Linked DNA regions of Oreochromis niloticus. The protein of the gene in region 1 purifies or fractionates together with the protein of each later gene. This does not show direct contact. Links are inferred from orthologs where the notes say so. Each region holds a gene or a part of one and is shown on either strand. Other genes may lie near its edges.

Region 1 (7,665 bases):
GCTCAATATTATAAAATGTCATGTAACATGGGAGAGAATCAATGAGTCAAAAAGCTGAGTGAGAAAAGTAAAACAACACACAAACCTCAGGAGAACAGTGTGTCATTGAGAAGGTGGAGATACTGAGGTGTAATCACAGAGAGTGGATCTAAAACCACCTTAGGGTAGGGACAACTGCAGCCACAGATGCAAATATCAGTGTATATACAGCAAATAACATTGTCCTCAAACTTAGGAAAGCTCTGTATTTTGGAGCTGTGTGCAGTCCATTCTTGGCTTTACAGGCCCTTTGAATAACTTCCCCAGCTGTAAGATCGGACTCAGTCCATCTGTGGTTTGAATATGATTAATATGGACCTCCATATCAATCCAGATGCATGTACGAAAGGTATATTGTACCAAAAAATGTAGAAGAAGAGCTCATAGTCCCTTAAGGCAAATCCTGCCAAAAAGCAGAGAGCAAAGTCCAGTCTGCTGAGCAGCCCGCCAGTCTCTAAGAGCGATTCTTCATCTTCTTGCGCACAGACTTGCCTGGACGTTTCTGGGAGTCAAAGAGAAAGAAATTATTTGTTTTTTTATTGACTGATTTGAATAAAACTGTCAATGGCTAACTGTGTGTGTGAGAGACTCACATTTTGTTTTCCTCCTTTCCCCTTCTTCCCTCCCTTGCCGTGAGCTATTTTGGCACGGAAACCGGAAACATCGTTGTAGCTTTCCTTGGTGTTCCACTTCTTTCCACTCTTTTTGCCTCCAAAGCCAAACTTCTGGTCCTTGTATTTTCTCTTAGCGCTGGGCCTGTAGAAAAAAAAAGAAGGGAAATTGTGAATTTCATTTTAAAAATACCACAAATCTGAAGTGGGAGCAAAGAAAAAAATAAGCAATGACTGCTGTGTGCACTGCTGTTCAAACTTACCCCTTTTTGTTCACTGCTTTCTTTGAGCCCTGAGAAGATTCTTTATTCATCTTCTGGTCACCTTCCAAGAATTCCAGTTTGTCGGTCATTCCTAGAAAGAGAAGATGTTGTTCTCAGTGCTCAATAAGTGATGCACCCACAGTGGTATAGTGACAAAACGATAAAAGAAATAAGGAAATAACGTCCATGCTACACTTGTAAACACCCACCCTTCTGGTATTTCTTTACAGCGGACATCATGGCCTTCTTCTCCTGCTGTCTCTTCTGGATCACTTCTATTTGGACCTGGCAAAAAATTCAAAATTAGAGTCAGTCTTTTAGCCATGTACAGTCGAAGTATCATACACATATAACATTTACAGGTGTTAAGAAGAATTTCTAAACTCAGTCACCAACCTTTTTGCCAAACTTCCTTTGCTCACGCAGTTTCTTGGCCTTTTCTGACCTCTCCATAATCATCTGCTTTGAGATCAGCTTTTTCCTGATCTGAACAGACCAACACATGAAAAGGTATATGAATATAAGCCTGACAGAACAAAAGAACAACTAAACTCAGGTCCTGAACCAGTAGGTGCAAAGAAATGTTAATTACTTTACTATCTGGGTGAGAACTAATACTTAGATTCCAACATCACTGTAATTATGTGTTTCAGGTTTTATGGAACATGTAAGGAGAAAAAAAAAAGCAAACAGCTGATGCTTTGCTGGTTTAATGTAATGAAATACAGTTTGAGCTTTAAACATATTTGTCAAAACTGAACCTGCATCATTATAAAGGAGACCAGGCTCACCTTCTGCATATGCTGATCAGATTTGGCCATCTCTGCAAAGTAGTCTTCGGGCCTCTTGGTGGCTATGCTGTGCCTGTTTAGAAGTGGCATTGCCTCGAGGATTGTAGCCTGAGCTTGACGGTAGCTGTAAATTAACAAAAAACACCAAAGAATTGGAATGGTCTCTTTGTAGCTGTGTTGTATTTTTGCAGCATTTTTTTTTAGGCTATTCTCTAAAACATTCAACACTGTATGCATGTTTGTAACTCTTTAGCTGAAAAAAGTGATTTCTTTGTCTGACTCGTAACCAAACTATATTAGTGTGGTTACAAAATACAAGCATATGTGATGCTTTAAATAAAACTGAGCTAAATTAACAGTCACGTACAAGAACATCTCCCTCTGGAAATCATCATCAGCATCCAGTTCTCCAGCGGCTGGCGCTGAAGCTTTCTCTTCAGCTTGAGAAATTATATTTGCAGCTGGTAGGTTGGTCAGATCCAATCTCTCCACCCAGGGAAGATCTTTACGAAAATCAGCAAGACACTGTTTCAACCCCTCCTGTGTGACAACATAGGATCAATAAAGGTACAACAAGTAACAATATTATTATATTCACTTTACAGGGAATTTCGAGAACCGTTCCATTGCTGCTTTAAAACTATTACAGTGGTATGGTTGTTTATAGTACGTTGATCATCCCTGTGTAGCATAACTTGCTACTAACAGAAGATGTGAGATGCCACTCACCACATTGTTGACTAACTTTTTCGGTTTATCCACCAGAACGTTCATCCCAGGCTTCAACAACCCCGCTGCGAAGGCTTCTTGCAGCTGGGCAATGAAATGAAGATGAATAATATTAACTCTGACTTATCTAAACCACCACTTGCTACAGCAAGACTACACGGTCCTACTAAACGTGAACTTTCGTGCTATCTAAAAAGCTTGATTAGAAAAATAAAGATTCCGACACTGATAATAGTACCAGGTCTCTGTTTGTTTGATTAACTTTATAAACAGCAGGCACAGTGACGTTTAAAACCCTAATACTTAATAGGAATGTGGTTAGCTAACGATGCTAGCATGTTAGGAAACTGACCTCATCGTCCGATAATTCACTGTTTTCCTCCTCTGAATCCTGACCGAGCAGCGCCTCTTCCTCTACGAACGCCATAGTCTTGCTGCCGATAACCATGAGATGACTATATGCGAACTATCAATATTAAAACGTAAAATACGCCTCGGATATACAGTGCTCCTCACATGGAGTATAAGGAGCCTTTCACGTGGAGCGGAAGTGACGCCTCTGAACGTCCTACCTATTCAGTTCGCCGGGGGATAAAAAGTGTAAAAATAATCGTTCCTACCCGGAAAAAATTCCAACGCAGAAAAAGTAAATAAATAAATAAAAAATAAAAAATACAGAAGTAAATAACGTTTAAGTCACACTATCCGATAACTCAATGTCCGATTCGCTCGTTGAAGAGTTTCTGATGCAACTTTAGTCACGTATCATCTTATTTCATTGAAATCTCCGCTTTTCATATAGATAAAAATGTTGTTTTGAATTCCATTCCAGTCTTTAAATTTGATTTAACATATAAAATAAAATGCCTTGGGTGGTTTACGAAAACCAATGACTGTATAAAAGTCTACGGTCTTTGACGAAAACACGTTTCCGTTACGTCTAGTGTGTAATATCAAATAAGTCCTCTTAGAGGAGATGTTGTACACCTGCGCAGACTGGAAAGTACAGTGGATGGGTCGATATGAGAACTTTACAGTCTAACGTCAATTTAGAGATTCTACTTTAAATCTTTTCCTATTGTGTAAAGGAAGACTCAGGATTTTCACTTGCCACCTCATCAAGACAGAAACTATCGACATTTCTTTTCCATTACTCAATTCCTGAGTCGATTTCTGTCACTTTGACATGGCACGACTGAGAAAAATGTCTGCGTTTTTGGCCCAGTGTCACTGTCAATGAACATTTTGTCTGTGGGGAAAATCAGGACAGCCCAAAATCTGGTGCTCTGAGTAAAGTTTGTTTCTGCATTCATTAGACATTCAAAATTAAATAAATTCTTTTATTGTTTATTTCTTGGGATGTAGCCTGTGTGTGTCTTTAACATACAGATCTCTGCCTGTGATCCTTTCCTCTTTAGTCATGCTACCCAAGGAACTTTTTTCTTTAAACTCTCCAGTGCACATCACACACATTTTGATTAGCACCCGAGAGAAACCAGTGGATATGCCGTATGCAAAGGCCATCAGCATTGAAATGTCCAAAACCGAAGAGTACTTCCAATGGGAGTCACAATCATTCACTTTAATGTTAGCGAAGGACAGTTTGTGTTCATCTTATGTGGTCACGTAGCAGTTGTAGAGTGAAGGGCTTGCAGTTAGAACCAGAGTGCGTATGTGCTGAATGCTAATGGTGTGCTTTGCCTGTGACCATGGAAGTAAGTTGATCTTACTCAAAATGTCACTTGAAAGGGATTCATCTCAAGTGGTCAAGCAAGGATCTCAACCATACCAAGGGCAAGGCGAAGAGCTGACATTCTTTAAAGTGTGCATACTAAAACTAAGACTTAGTCTAAGAGATAATTTACCCTTTCGGGTGGTGAGGAGTAAAACACTCCTAAATGCAATTAATGGTTAGCTGTGTTATGTTTATGCTGCTAAACAGATATGGTTTTCTTTGGAAGACAAGGTAATTGCAAACCTTTATTATAGCCACATAGCAAAGAAACAGATAATCAATAATCACCCAGAAAGTAAAGCAGAATCAGACAGACAGTATCTTTGCCTTTTTTCATTGTTTTATGTGGTCTCCAGGTTTCTCAGTGTGAATGTAACTTAAAGAAAAATATAAGACATATCCCTATATTGAAACTGTTTTGTGTGGTCATTACCTGGGTGGTTGCTGGTGTCCTATCTTATGCACTGTGCATCAGAACTGCTAACTGAACAAAACAGCACATAGCATCTTTGATCTTCGCTTTCATACGCCATTCAAATAACTAAAAAACATCAAAAGATATTGAATCTGGAACTAATGCAGTATTTTAATATTTTGCCTATTTTATCCTAACTTTTTTTCTCTTTACATGACACTGCTGCTCTTATCTATGTTACTGAAAGTTAAATTCATTATCTCTTTGAAGGTTGCATTTGAGATTGACTAATAGCAACATGAACAGCTTTCTTCTTAATAAGCGGCTCGTTTTCACGACACCTGGACTACAAAAGTGATCCAACTTTACAGGCTTACTGACATTACTTTGATTTGTCAGGAAAGCTCAGAGTAGTCTTGCAGAAATGTGTTAGAATAACAGTTGTAATAATTAGAACATACAGTGATGGTGAAAAGACACAGTTAATAAAACGTCATCTGGTCCTTACCCAGTCTTAAAATTAAGTAAATGCAACCTTGGACAGACAACAACACCTGATATATTACACTGAGCCAAAATGCAGAAGAAATGTGTTAAAAACTGAGTAGAGCCAATTGTTTAATAGCTTGTAGACCTGTAACTTGAAGTTATAATTTCCGGAGTGACTATATGTCTCTCACATTGTAACAAAGAAATTTTGGCTCACCTGTCTTACAAGGCTGCTTCAGTTCATTGAGGTTTGTGGGCATTTATGCACAGCTGTCTTTTGGTCCAGCTAGAGCATTTCTATCAGTTTGAAGTCTGGACTTTGGCTGGACCATTGCAACACCTTGATTCTTTTCTTTTTCAGTAATTCTGTTGTAGATTTGCTGCTGTGCTTGAGGTTGTTCTTCTGTTGACCCAAGCTTGAGCTGTCAGACAGATGACCTCATGTGTGACTTTAGAATATTTTATTATACAGAGAAGCTCGTGGTTGACTCAATGACTACAAGGTGTCCAGGGCCTGTTGCTGCAAAACAAGCCTAAATCTTCACCCCATGAGGTGTTTGTGCTGATATGCTGTGTTTGGCTTTCTTCTATCCAAACGCCACCTTTTTGGCCTCATCTATCCAAAATACATTGTTTTAGACATTTTGTGGTTTGTTCGGACTTTGCAAACCTAAGCAATGGTGCCATGTTCTGTTTAGAGAGAAGAGCCATACTTGTGCCATTTGCTGATTGTTTTTCCATGAACTTTAACATTTAAGATGCTGACTGATGCTTGTAGAGTCTGAGATGTAGACTTTGGCTCTTTCAGGTTTTCTGAGCATTGCACAGTCTGACCTTGGGATGAATTTGCTGGCAAATCCACTCCTGAAAAGATTGGTAGCTGTCATGAATGTGTCATGTTTTCCACTTGTGAATAATCTTTCTCACTGCAGAATGATAGACTTCAAATTGTTTGGAAATGGCCCTTAACCATTTCTAGATTGATGGGGAGCAACAGTTGCTTCTTCAAGATTGTTGCTGATGTCTTTCTTCCTTGGCACGGTGCTAATTCACCTGACTGCTTCAGGTCAGAAAACTGCCAAAGCTTTCAAAGAGGTGGTCACACTTTCTTATGACTCAAGTGCATTTGATTATCAGCACCTGGCTGCTACTTACTATCTTCATTCCTATGGAAGCAGTACTGGTGGACAGATTATATTTACTACACTGGAATTTAAAGAGAGTTCACTTTATATTTCTTACCATGACTGTAGATGTAATAATTAGCAGTAACAAACTGATTTCTATGTACACTGATGATGAAGAATGATCTTTTCATGTCACTTTAGCATATTAATGAGACATTTAGTTTGGTATTAAACCATGCAAATTTTGTTTATTTCACAGCTCAGCAGGTTAGAGAAGTTTCGCTATCACTAATACCAGATGGGCAGGATAGGAAGTAGACTGGGGACTTCTGTGCTGACAGCCGCTGTTCATTTGAGATGTCATCGGCCTCTTTCAGTGTTTTATCCTCCTAGTCCTCAAAGCAGAGGCTGTCTGAGCCCCCCTGAGAGTGACATTCATTCTATTCTGATGGAAATCGATTTCTACAATTTGAACATCACCACCCTTAATTCTTCCATTCTCTGCATGGTCAGAGCCCTGCTCTGAGACATCTTCAAAAGGAGAAAAAAACCCCCCATAATTTACATTTCTGTCATTGTAATCGCTTGAGCCAGACAGAAATGCGGTCTATTAAATTCCCATTCTGCTGTCACTCTTCATATCAGGGCAACAGACTGCTTCCTGACACCAGATTGAAAATAAGTTGGATTCACTCTGTCAAGCTCCTCTTTTGGAGTTATTCCTGGTTGCTGGAGGATTGGACAAAAAAACAATAATACAGTCATGAATGTCTGGGCCTAAGATGGCTGAGTGCTTCAGCTCCTATGGCTCTCAATCAGCCTAAGGAGATTTAGGGATGTGCAAGTAAACAACACTGGATGAATTACTGGGAAAAGTATTTTAGGTCATTTTGTCTTGATCTGTCCTTTCTTGAGTGGATATCCATTCCTTCTCCATCCATCAAAACATCTGTGAGTTGACTGCTAAAGAGTCGGCCTATACCCATGTATTACTCTAGCCACACAGTAGCCATATTCTGTTGTCTGTCAACCATGAGGAGATGTATTAAGCAGGTAGCATGTGTGACCTCCAAGGAATGGGCTTACATCTATAATGTTGCCAGTCTTTTCAAGATCAAATATTATTACTACAAAGCTAAATTTGAGGATGATGCCATGGCTCATGTTGTGCTTTTTGTTGTGCCATACCCCCAGTAAAGAAAACAGCAGCCCTGTGGCATTTGTGAAGTCCTATTTAGACACTACGGCGATCGCTAATATCAGTGTGTTCATATTTCCAGGCAGAGTTTTTACCATGTTCACCAGATGCTTTTGCCTTCTCTTCCTGTGCCCCGGGCATTTTTGACTTTTGGAAGTTACATTCTGATTTGAGTTTACTTTCTCTAAAAATCTCTTTTATATTTATTGTTTGTTGTTGCTCATTTCTCATATTTTCTGTTTGCACTTTCTTCCCACCCTTACCATTT
Region 2 (7,997 bases), on another chromosome or scaffold:
TCCTTGGCTTTAACCATGCCTGCTTTCTTTGCCTTGGTGGCTGCTGGAGCAGGAGTAGTGTCCATTTCCTCTTCAGAGTCTAAAAAGCAGAATCATTGCCAATGACGTGAATCTCACAGTAACTGTGGCCGAATTCAAATGCATTGAAAACGAGTATTACTGTGGGTCAGATAGTTCAAAAGGTGACATCATACGTGATCAGTATTAAGTCCCTTGTTGATCATCATACAGTGTTAACTATTTTCAAAGACAATGGCTCCTGTTAAAAACAAAAAAGAGAAATGCGAGGCTCAGTCTTACCATCATCGTCTTCATCATCATCTTCTTCAGATGACTCTTCTTTAGCAGGCTGAGCCTTTGCAGCCTTGGCAGCTGGCTTTGCTGGAGTAGCCTTCTTGGGGGGAGGGGCTTCCTCTTCTGACTCGTCATCATCATCGTCGTCGTCATCATCAGAGGACTCCTTTGCAGGCTGAGCCTTCACTGGGGGCTTTGCTGCAGGCTTAGCAGCTGGCTTGGCTGCCTTCTTGGGTGGTGGGGCCTCTTCTTCAGACTCATCTAGACAAGAAAAACACGAGCTTTCGTTTTAATTGCAGAAAATTTTCAACAAAACCTCTTCAGAGTTCAAAACAGGGCATTAGGTTGTAACAGCGATTGAGGATAGGACCGGCAGACAGTCAAATACACACCGGTACCGAAGACATAGCGCTGTCTTTGTTTTTCCTCCGTACATTACACACATGAGTACTAAACAACCACATGCATGCCAAGAAATGGAGGATGTTTTGGGACGCATTACATCATCAGATTGTTAGCACAAATGCTTGGATCAGATTAAAATGAAGCCATCAACAGTTTTGTTAAAAACACAGTACAACAGTAATTACTATCAGTCACACAATACCAAAAGCCTTACCATCCTCCTCATCATCATCGTCATCATCTGACTCCTCTGCTTTTGCAGCAGCTGCCTTAGCTGGTGCTTTTTTGGCTGGAGTTGCCTTTGCAGGTGTCTTCTTTGGTGGGGGGGCCTCCTCCTCTGATGATTCATCTATATATGATAAATAGCAAAATTGTCTTAGGCAATATTATGCTTACTTTAAGAATGATGTACAGTGTGAAGTTTTACCCTATTTATTTAGATCAAGAACGTATATTATAAATTTGGACAACACGACACATTCACCAGTTAAATGGAAACAGCAGCTTTCATAACTTCGAAGGTTTTCTTTCTAAAGACCATCTGTTTCACTGTTGTAACTAAAATGTCAAAAGCAACACATTTATAACTATTAAATGCATCAGGCATCGCTCAAAGTTCGAGGGACTCACTTTCTAACATTTGGATGATCCTTAAACACCAAAACACACACAATAGGTCAATCTCTATATATTAAAGCCCAATTGATTATGTGAGTTATGTGAAATATGAGTATCATTCAATTAGTTTCGTTTTGGTCCTTTATTACTTACCAGAATCATCATCTTCACTTTCTGCTTTTTTGGCAGGAGTGCCATTTCCAACAACTTTGGTGCCTTTGGCTGGTGTGGCTTTCTTCACCGCTTTAGGTGGTGGAGCCTGCAGTATTAAAAAAAAAAAAAAATACAAAAATAAAAACACTTAATACCACATTTTAAATATTTTTTTCTAGCCATAAAATACTTGAGTCAAAGTCTATGTACCTCTTCTTCCTCATCACTGCTGTCCTCTTCGCTGGATTCCTCCTCCACTTCTTTGGGGGGTGGAGGGGCCTTTTTCTTCTGAGCTGCTTGCTTATTTGCTGCCTTCAAAAGAAATCCCAAAATGCAAAAACTGTTATTACCAATGTTTTTAAAACCCAACAATAATGGAGCCTACAAGTAGCCAAGCATAGATTCCGGTAAAGAAGAGGGTCTAACAATCATGGCACCCGCTGCAGCATGTCCGCAAACATGAGGGGCTTTAGGCCACGTGGAATTCCACGGTTAAAATATAAAACAGGAGAGCCGTGCTGCTGGTACAATATTTAAATCATCAACGGCAAACGGTCACGTGAGTTTAAAATAAGCCACTCAAATTACACATGAGCTCGCCGATGGATTTTCTCGGTTTTGGTTGCTTGCCTCGTGTGTCACTCAGAGCAGGCGCAGAACCCACGTGGAGCTCTAGAGGTCGGTCAGCTAGCATGCTGGGTAATTTTACCATTTGCTGACAAGCATTAAAAAAAGAATTATATATATATAAACATATGCCGAACAGTTATCCAGAAAGTCCATTACATGACAGAAAGTGTTTAAGTGGGACAGTTTAAACTTAACACCGAGAACTACCATTATTTCCACAAAATGAAGGAAATTAGAATCAAGTCCGGGTATGAATACGCTAATGCTAGTTGTTAAGCTAGCCGCGTGCTCAAATTTTCGGTTTTTACAATAGTTTTCTAACAAATGTTGGTACAGGTTGGCAGGCTGGCTATAAATTGATTTTGTTTAAGTCTTTTTATACGCCATACTTAAATCGAGAGCGCGCACGAAATCCACACTAAGCAGCAGTTTAGCTTAGCAGGCCAGAGAGCCAAAAGCGAGGCACAAACATGGCTGATCGCAAACGAAAAAGGCGTAGTAAATGCGGCAACACCACCACCATGTTGATTAATTTAAAAAAAAAAAAAAAAAAAAAAAAAAAAAGAGGCGACAATCGCAGCTTTACCTGAGCGGACATTTTCTTTTTCCGCGAGTTCACCCCCCGTTTTTTAACAAACGCACCAACTTCTGCTTAAAGGCCTCGTGCGTAAACACAAGCCCTCTTTCTATCACAAACGCACGCACTATTTTAAAATAGAATGACGTAATCTTACCTTTGCTAACTTCACCATTGTGCTGTTGTGTGTTTCAATAAAACACGAGAAGCTGGACGTCTGAAGATGAATTTAAAAAAGAATAGCTAATGTATGCACGTGGACCTGCCTACTCGATGGGACATTGGACAGGAAAGACAGAGACGACGAAGACTCGCTCTGTACTCCCCTTCTTCGCGCGCTCTCGCCGACCCGCCCACATGACTGTCTCTACCAATCACAAGCTAATGTATTTGCGTCGTGCCCGCGCCTCACCCCACATACAGGAAACATTGAATTTTACTACTCCAAGGAAATACTGTATAACTATTCTCGTCTCACTATATCACTAAATACATGACAAAAATACTAGGCAGCACTGTCAAATCTACCGTGTTTAACCTTTAAAGTCAATGTTATGACAGTCTGTATTTAACATGAACATGTATTATTTACATTGTTATTATATCATTATTATTATTATCATGGTTTTGTTTTTAATATACGTATAGTTATAGATGTTTACAGTTAAAATGTTAAAGAAAACTATTTTCGGCAATTTCCCGGACTTAACGCTACATAAACCATATACAGCTTATTGTCACATATACCATACAGCTGTTTACATGGCCACGTGGTTCGGCACGGTTGCCAAACTATCAACCACGTGTAGTCCACCACGAGGTACACGCTACACAGTGAACAGTGATAGTTCCCAACTAGTATAGTATAGTATAATCTAAATACTTCAAAGTGGGGGTATACATAGTAGTTCAGTCCAGTTTTAGTACATGTATTTCATGTAACTGTATACATTTAAATAAAACTTAAAAATAAAAAAACCCCTCTATGCAGGGGTTTTCCATGCTCAGAGTTTGCCTTTGCATGGATGACTACACACAGGAAGGATGTAAGCAATAGGTGTTTGTTGCCTTTTTGGTAGATTTAAAATGATAATAATAATAATATTTAGGCTTTTTTTTCTGCAGTGAATGAACCTCTTTTTAATCGCCATTAAGTTACCACTTTTACATTGTAGATAATTTTAAATGTAAATATTCATACATTGTTTTTCTGTTGCACAATTGAATCCTGGAGCCAGCCGGCTGATTCCCAGGGCAACATGAAGAGCACGTTTGAGTAATTAACCCTCAACACCACACAGAGGCAGCATTGCATTTAACATCACTCGGTCTTACAGACTAGTCTCAGTGAATTACAGCTACCTTTGATTTGAGAAAGATAATGTAACTTTATTGGTCCCTTCTTCTTTGTAATAATAATGATAATAATGAAAATAATGATAATCTAACCATTCTCTCGAACTTCAATATCTTTTGTAGTCAGAAAGCTCACAGAGTAGCCATTGTTCTACCTGTCTACCTGTACAAAATGTTGCATTCTGTCCAACTTTTCCCCCTTTTCTTAGTCTTGCTGTGACATTCTGGACTTGTGATCACAACTGTAGTTGACTGTTATTACAGTCGTCCCACTGTTGGTGGTTTTAAAGCATATCAGTATAACTGAAAAAACTGTTTTTGTGTAAAAAACAAAACAAAAAAACAACAACAACAAAAGAAAAAGAGCTACTGAAATTGCCATATTGAGTTAACAAAGGTACATACAACTACACAGCAGTGTCTATGCTGAATTTGCAGAATGAACAGGTATGCCTCTTTGCAAAAACCCTCCTGTCACTCTGACTCTTGTCCAATTATTCACTGCTGTCTTTCAGCAACAATCATATGACCCCCTATGAGCAAGCGCTTTGGCAACAGTGGGAAGGAAAAACTAGCTTTTATCAGGAAGAAACCCCCAGTAGAACAATGCTCAAGGAGGGGCACCAATCTGCTGCGACCGGTTGAAGGTAAATGGATGAAGACAGGACAAAGACATGATGTGGAAAAGAGCCAGAGATTAATGATAATTGAATACAAAGATGTGTTTAAACACAGTGAGTGAAAAAGGTGACTGAAGAAGAAACATTCAGTGCATCATGGGAATCCCCCAGGAGCCTACACCTATTGCAGCATAACTAAGGGAGGATTCAGGGTCACCTGATTCACCTGATATGCTTTATCAAATGGAAAGTTTTAAGCCTAATCTTAAAAGTAGAGATAGTGTCTGTCTTCCAAATCCAAATTGGAAGCTGAAGAAGGGCCTGAAAGCTGAAGGCTCTGCCTCCCATTCTACCTTTAAATACTCTAGGAACAACAAGTAAACCAGCAGTCTGAGAGCGAAGAGCCCTAATGGGGTGATATGGTACTAAAAGAATACAAAATCACAAAGGAAAGATGCACAGAATTTCCCATTGTCTTTACAGCCCTTTCATTTTATTTCTTAGTAATGTTTTCCATGAAGGGGTATCCCTGGCTCCCTATGTTCAGGAAATGGGAAGATTCAATCCCTCTGCATCAATGCCACTTCATTAGTTATGTCTTTCCACTACAAGGTTGGACCGGAGCCCTTTTTGCTTTTAATTGTTCATGATATAGATTCAACAAGGTGCTGGAAACACTCTTCAGAGATTTTGGTCCATATTGACACGATAGCGTCACACAGTTGTTGCAGTTTGTCAGCATCACATCCATGATGTGAATTTTCCAATCCATCACATCCCAAATGTGTTCTACTGGGCTGAGATTTGGTGAATGCACAGGCTTTCTCAATACAATGAACTCATGTTGAGAAAAACAGATTTGGGTGATTTGAGCTTTGTGACTCGTTATCCTCTTAGAAGCATTCTTCAGAAGATGGTCATAAAGGGATGCACATGGTCAGCAACAATACACAGGTGGACACAAGGGGCCCAAAGTGTGCCAAGAAAATATCCCTCTCACCAGTGCATCAAGCTGAATCACTGATACAAAGTAGGATGGATGCATGCTTGCATGCCAGATTTTGATCCTACCATCCAAATGATGACCGATCAGACCAGTTTACATTTTTTCAGTCTGCCATTGTCCATTTTTGTTGAGCCTGTGTGAACTATAGCCTCAGTTTCCTGTTCTTACCTGACAAGAGTGGCAGCTTTTGCGGTCTTCTGCTGCTGTGGCACATCTTCTTCAAGGTTCAACATGTTGTGCATGCTCTTCTGCATACCTTAGTTGTAACAAATGTTTATTGGAGGTACTGTTGCCTTCCTGTCAGCTCAAAACAGTCTCCAATTCTGCCTTGATCCTTTGTAATCAAGAAGACATTTTCATCTAGAGAACTGCTGCTCACTGGATGTTTTTTTTTTTTAGAAACTTCTCTATAAACCCTAGAAATGGTTTTGTGGGATAACCCCAGCCGATCAACAGCCTCAGGGCCTGTTTTGTATGTGTGTGTGTTTAAAGTTGTGTTACTATGAATTTGACCATCCTACAGTCAATAATATAGGTTCACAAAAAAGAGACAAGCACATCTAATTTATAATTACAAATGTGTTTTCACAGTACACGTGCACTCTCGGTTTGCTTCTGTCAGTTGTACTTCTCTCCAGTTTGCAAATCGGTATCAACCTCAAAGTCAGCACACATTCACAACACTCACACCGTAAATATCATGTTTCATGGTATTAGAAAGGAAATCCTTGAAAAGACTTTTACATTGACTTTACTGTATTAATTAGCTTGTAAAGTGTTCTCTCTGTATTTTTCTGGCTCTCACCCCCTTTTGTGTAATTACACCATGAAATCTTTGAGCAATGGACCTTTTTAGAGTTTCACAACTGAGCACGATTTGTTATCTTTTTTATGCTTCTTTATTATAATCTGGGTGTGTTTGTTTTCCTTTTTAATATCGCGCGTATATGGCCTTTTCTCTATATGCTTGTCTTGTTTTAAGCCTTTTAGTTTGGAAACTACGAGATAAAAAAGCCATTTTGCTTATATATCATCTTTATATAATGTTAAAGTATGTTATTCCTGCAACAGTTTGGCTGTCTGTGCAGGATGTACCCTACGGTACATCCTGCGATCGTGGCTCAAGAGTTGGGAGTTCGCCTTGTAATCGGAAGGTTGCCGGTTCGAGCCCCAGCTTGGACAGTCTCGGTCGTTGTGTCCTTGGGCAAGACACTTCACCCGTTGCCTACTGGTGGTGGTCAGAGGGCCCGGTGGCGCCAGTGTCCGGCAGCCTCGCCTCTGTCAGTGCGCCCCAGGGTGGCTGTGGCTACAACGTAGCTTGCCATCACCAGTGTGTGAATGTGTGCGTGAATGGGTGAATGACTGGATATGTAAAGCGCTTTGGGGTCCTTAGGGACTAGTAAGGTGCTATATAAATACAGGCCATTTACCATTTACCATTTACTCCCCCCTCCCCATGATGAATTGGAGAAGCATAAGAGAATGGATGGATGGATAATTTTAAGGTGAATTTACTGCTTATTTTAAATAATATCGCTCTTAAATTTACCAACTGGTAACTGGATGTAATGTGCAACAGAATTAGAGGAACATTAGGAGGAAGTGGCTTTCTATCATCTTTTTAATTAGTGGTTTGGGATTACAGTGTTATTGCCTGAATTCTAAAGATCGCTTTAAGTCAAAATGTAAATTTTCAGTGTTTTCTTCTATTTGTGCAGCAAATTTGTGCAAGAGCTTTCAACAGTGTGGGTAGATCATGCTAGGTTGAATGCAGCAGTATAGATGCAGCACTCAACAAATCCTTATTGTTTCATATAAACATTTTATCTGATAACACAGAGTTTCAGATATTTGCTAATGTTTGAAACACTTTTTCAAAATCCAAGCAGCATAAAATCTTTAGTAAATGTTAAACTCTGGCTCTCTGTACCAAAGTGTGCCTTTTGTAACATCAACCCAACCGGCTACAGCAGATGGCTGCCCCTCCCTGAGCCTGGTTCTGGAGGTTTCTTCCTATTAAAAGTGAGTTTTTTCTTCCCACCATCAACAAGAGGGGGTCGAATGATTGCTTGGTTTTTCTTTTCTTTCTAATATTGTAGGGTCTTTACAACATAAACCGCTTCGAGGTCACTGTTTCTTGTGAATTGGCGCCATAGAAATGAAACTGAATTGAACTGAATAAAAATGAATGGCGCTCCATCTAACAGCAGGGCAGTCGTTGTTTCTCTTCTGACAAAACCTCCAGAAGCCAGGCAGAAAATGCTCACCAACTAGAATTGACTAGTTTCACGGAACACACAAAGACACCGAGATCAAAGATGTAAGTGCACATGGAATG

Evidence for each region.
Region 2: the proteins of ebna1bp2 (region 1) and ncl purify together in Homo sapiens (affinity purification with mass spectrometry; 3 studies listed by BioGRID and IntAct, with this or other methods). This does not show direct contact. The link is inferred for Oreochromis niloticus from reciprocal best matches to the Homo sapiens genes EBNA1BP2 and NCL.

The regions. Positions count from the first base shown.
Region 1 is NC_031981.2:33,035,934-33,043,598, reverse strand, and holds ebna1bp2 (putative rRNA-processing protein EBP2), read right to left. Parts: upstream 3,016-7,665; 5' UTR 2,882-3,015; coding exon 2,786-2,881; intron 2,518-2,785; coding exon 2,434-2,517; intron 2,245-2,433; coding exon 2,072-2,244; intron 1,829-2,071; coding exon 1,705-1,828; intron 1,400-1,704; coding exon 1,310-1,399; intron 1,199-1,309; coding exon 1,123-1,198; intron 1,005-1,122; coding exon 914-1,004; intron 796-913; coding exon 633-795; intron 542-632; coding exon 494-541; 3' UTR 204-493; downstream 1-203. UniProt on the Homo sapiens protein: Required for the processing of the 27S pre-rRNA.
Region 2 is NC_031980.2:34,362,951-34,370,947, reverse strand, and holds the start of ncl (nucleolin), read right to left. Parts: upstream 3,021-7,997; 5' UTR 2,853-3,020; coding exon 2,835-2,852; intron 1,783-2,834; coding exon 1,681-1,782; intron 1,577-1,680; coding exon 1,471-1,576; intron 1,049-1,470; coding exon 914-1,048; intron 778-913; exon of another isoform or gene 638-777; intron 556-637; coding exon 301-555; intron 80-300; coding exon 1-79. UniProt on the Homo sapiens protein: Nucleolin is the major nucleolar protein of growing eukaryotic cells. It is found associated with intranucleolar chromatin and pre-ribosomal particles. It induces chromatin decondensation by binding to histone H1.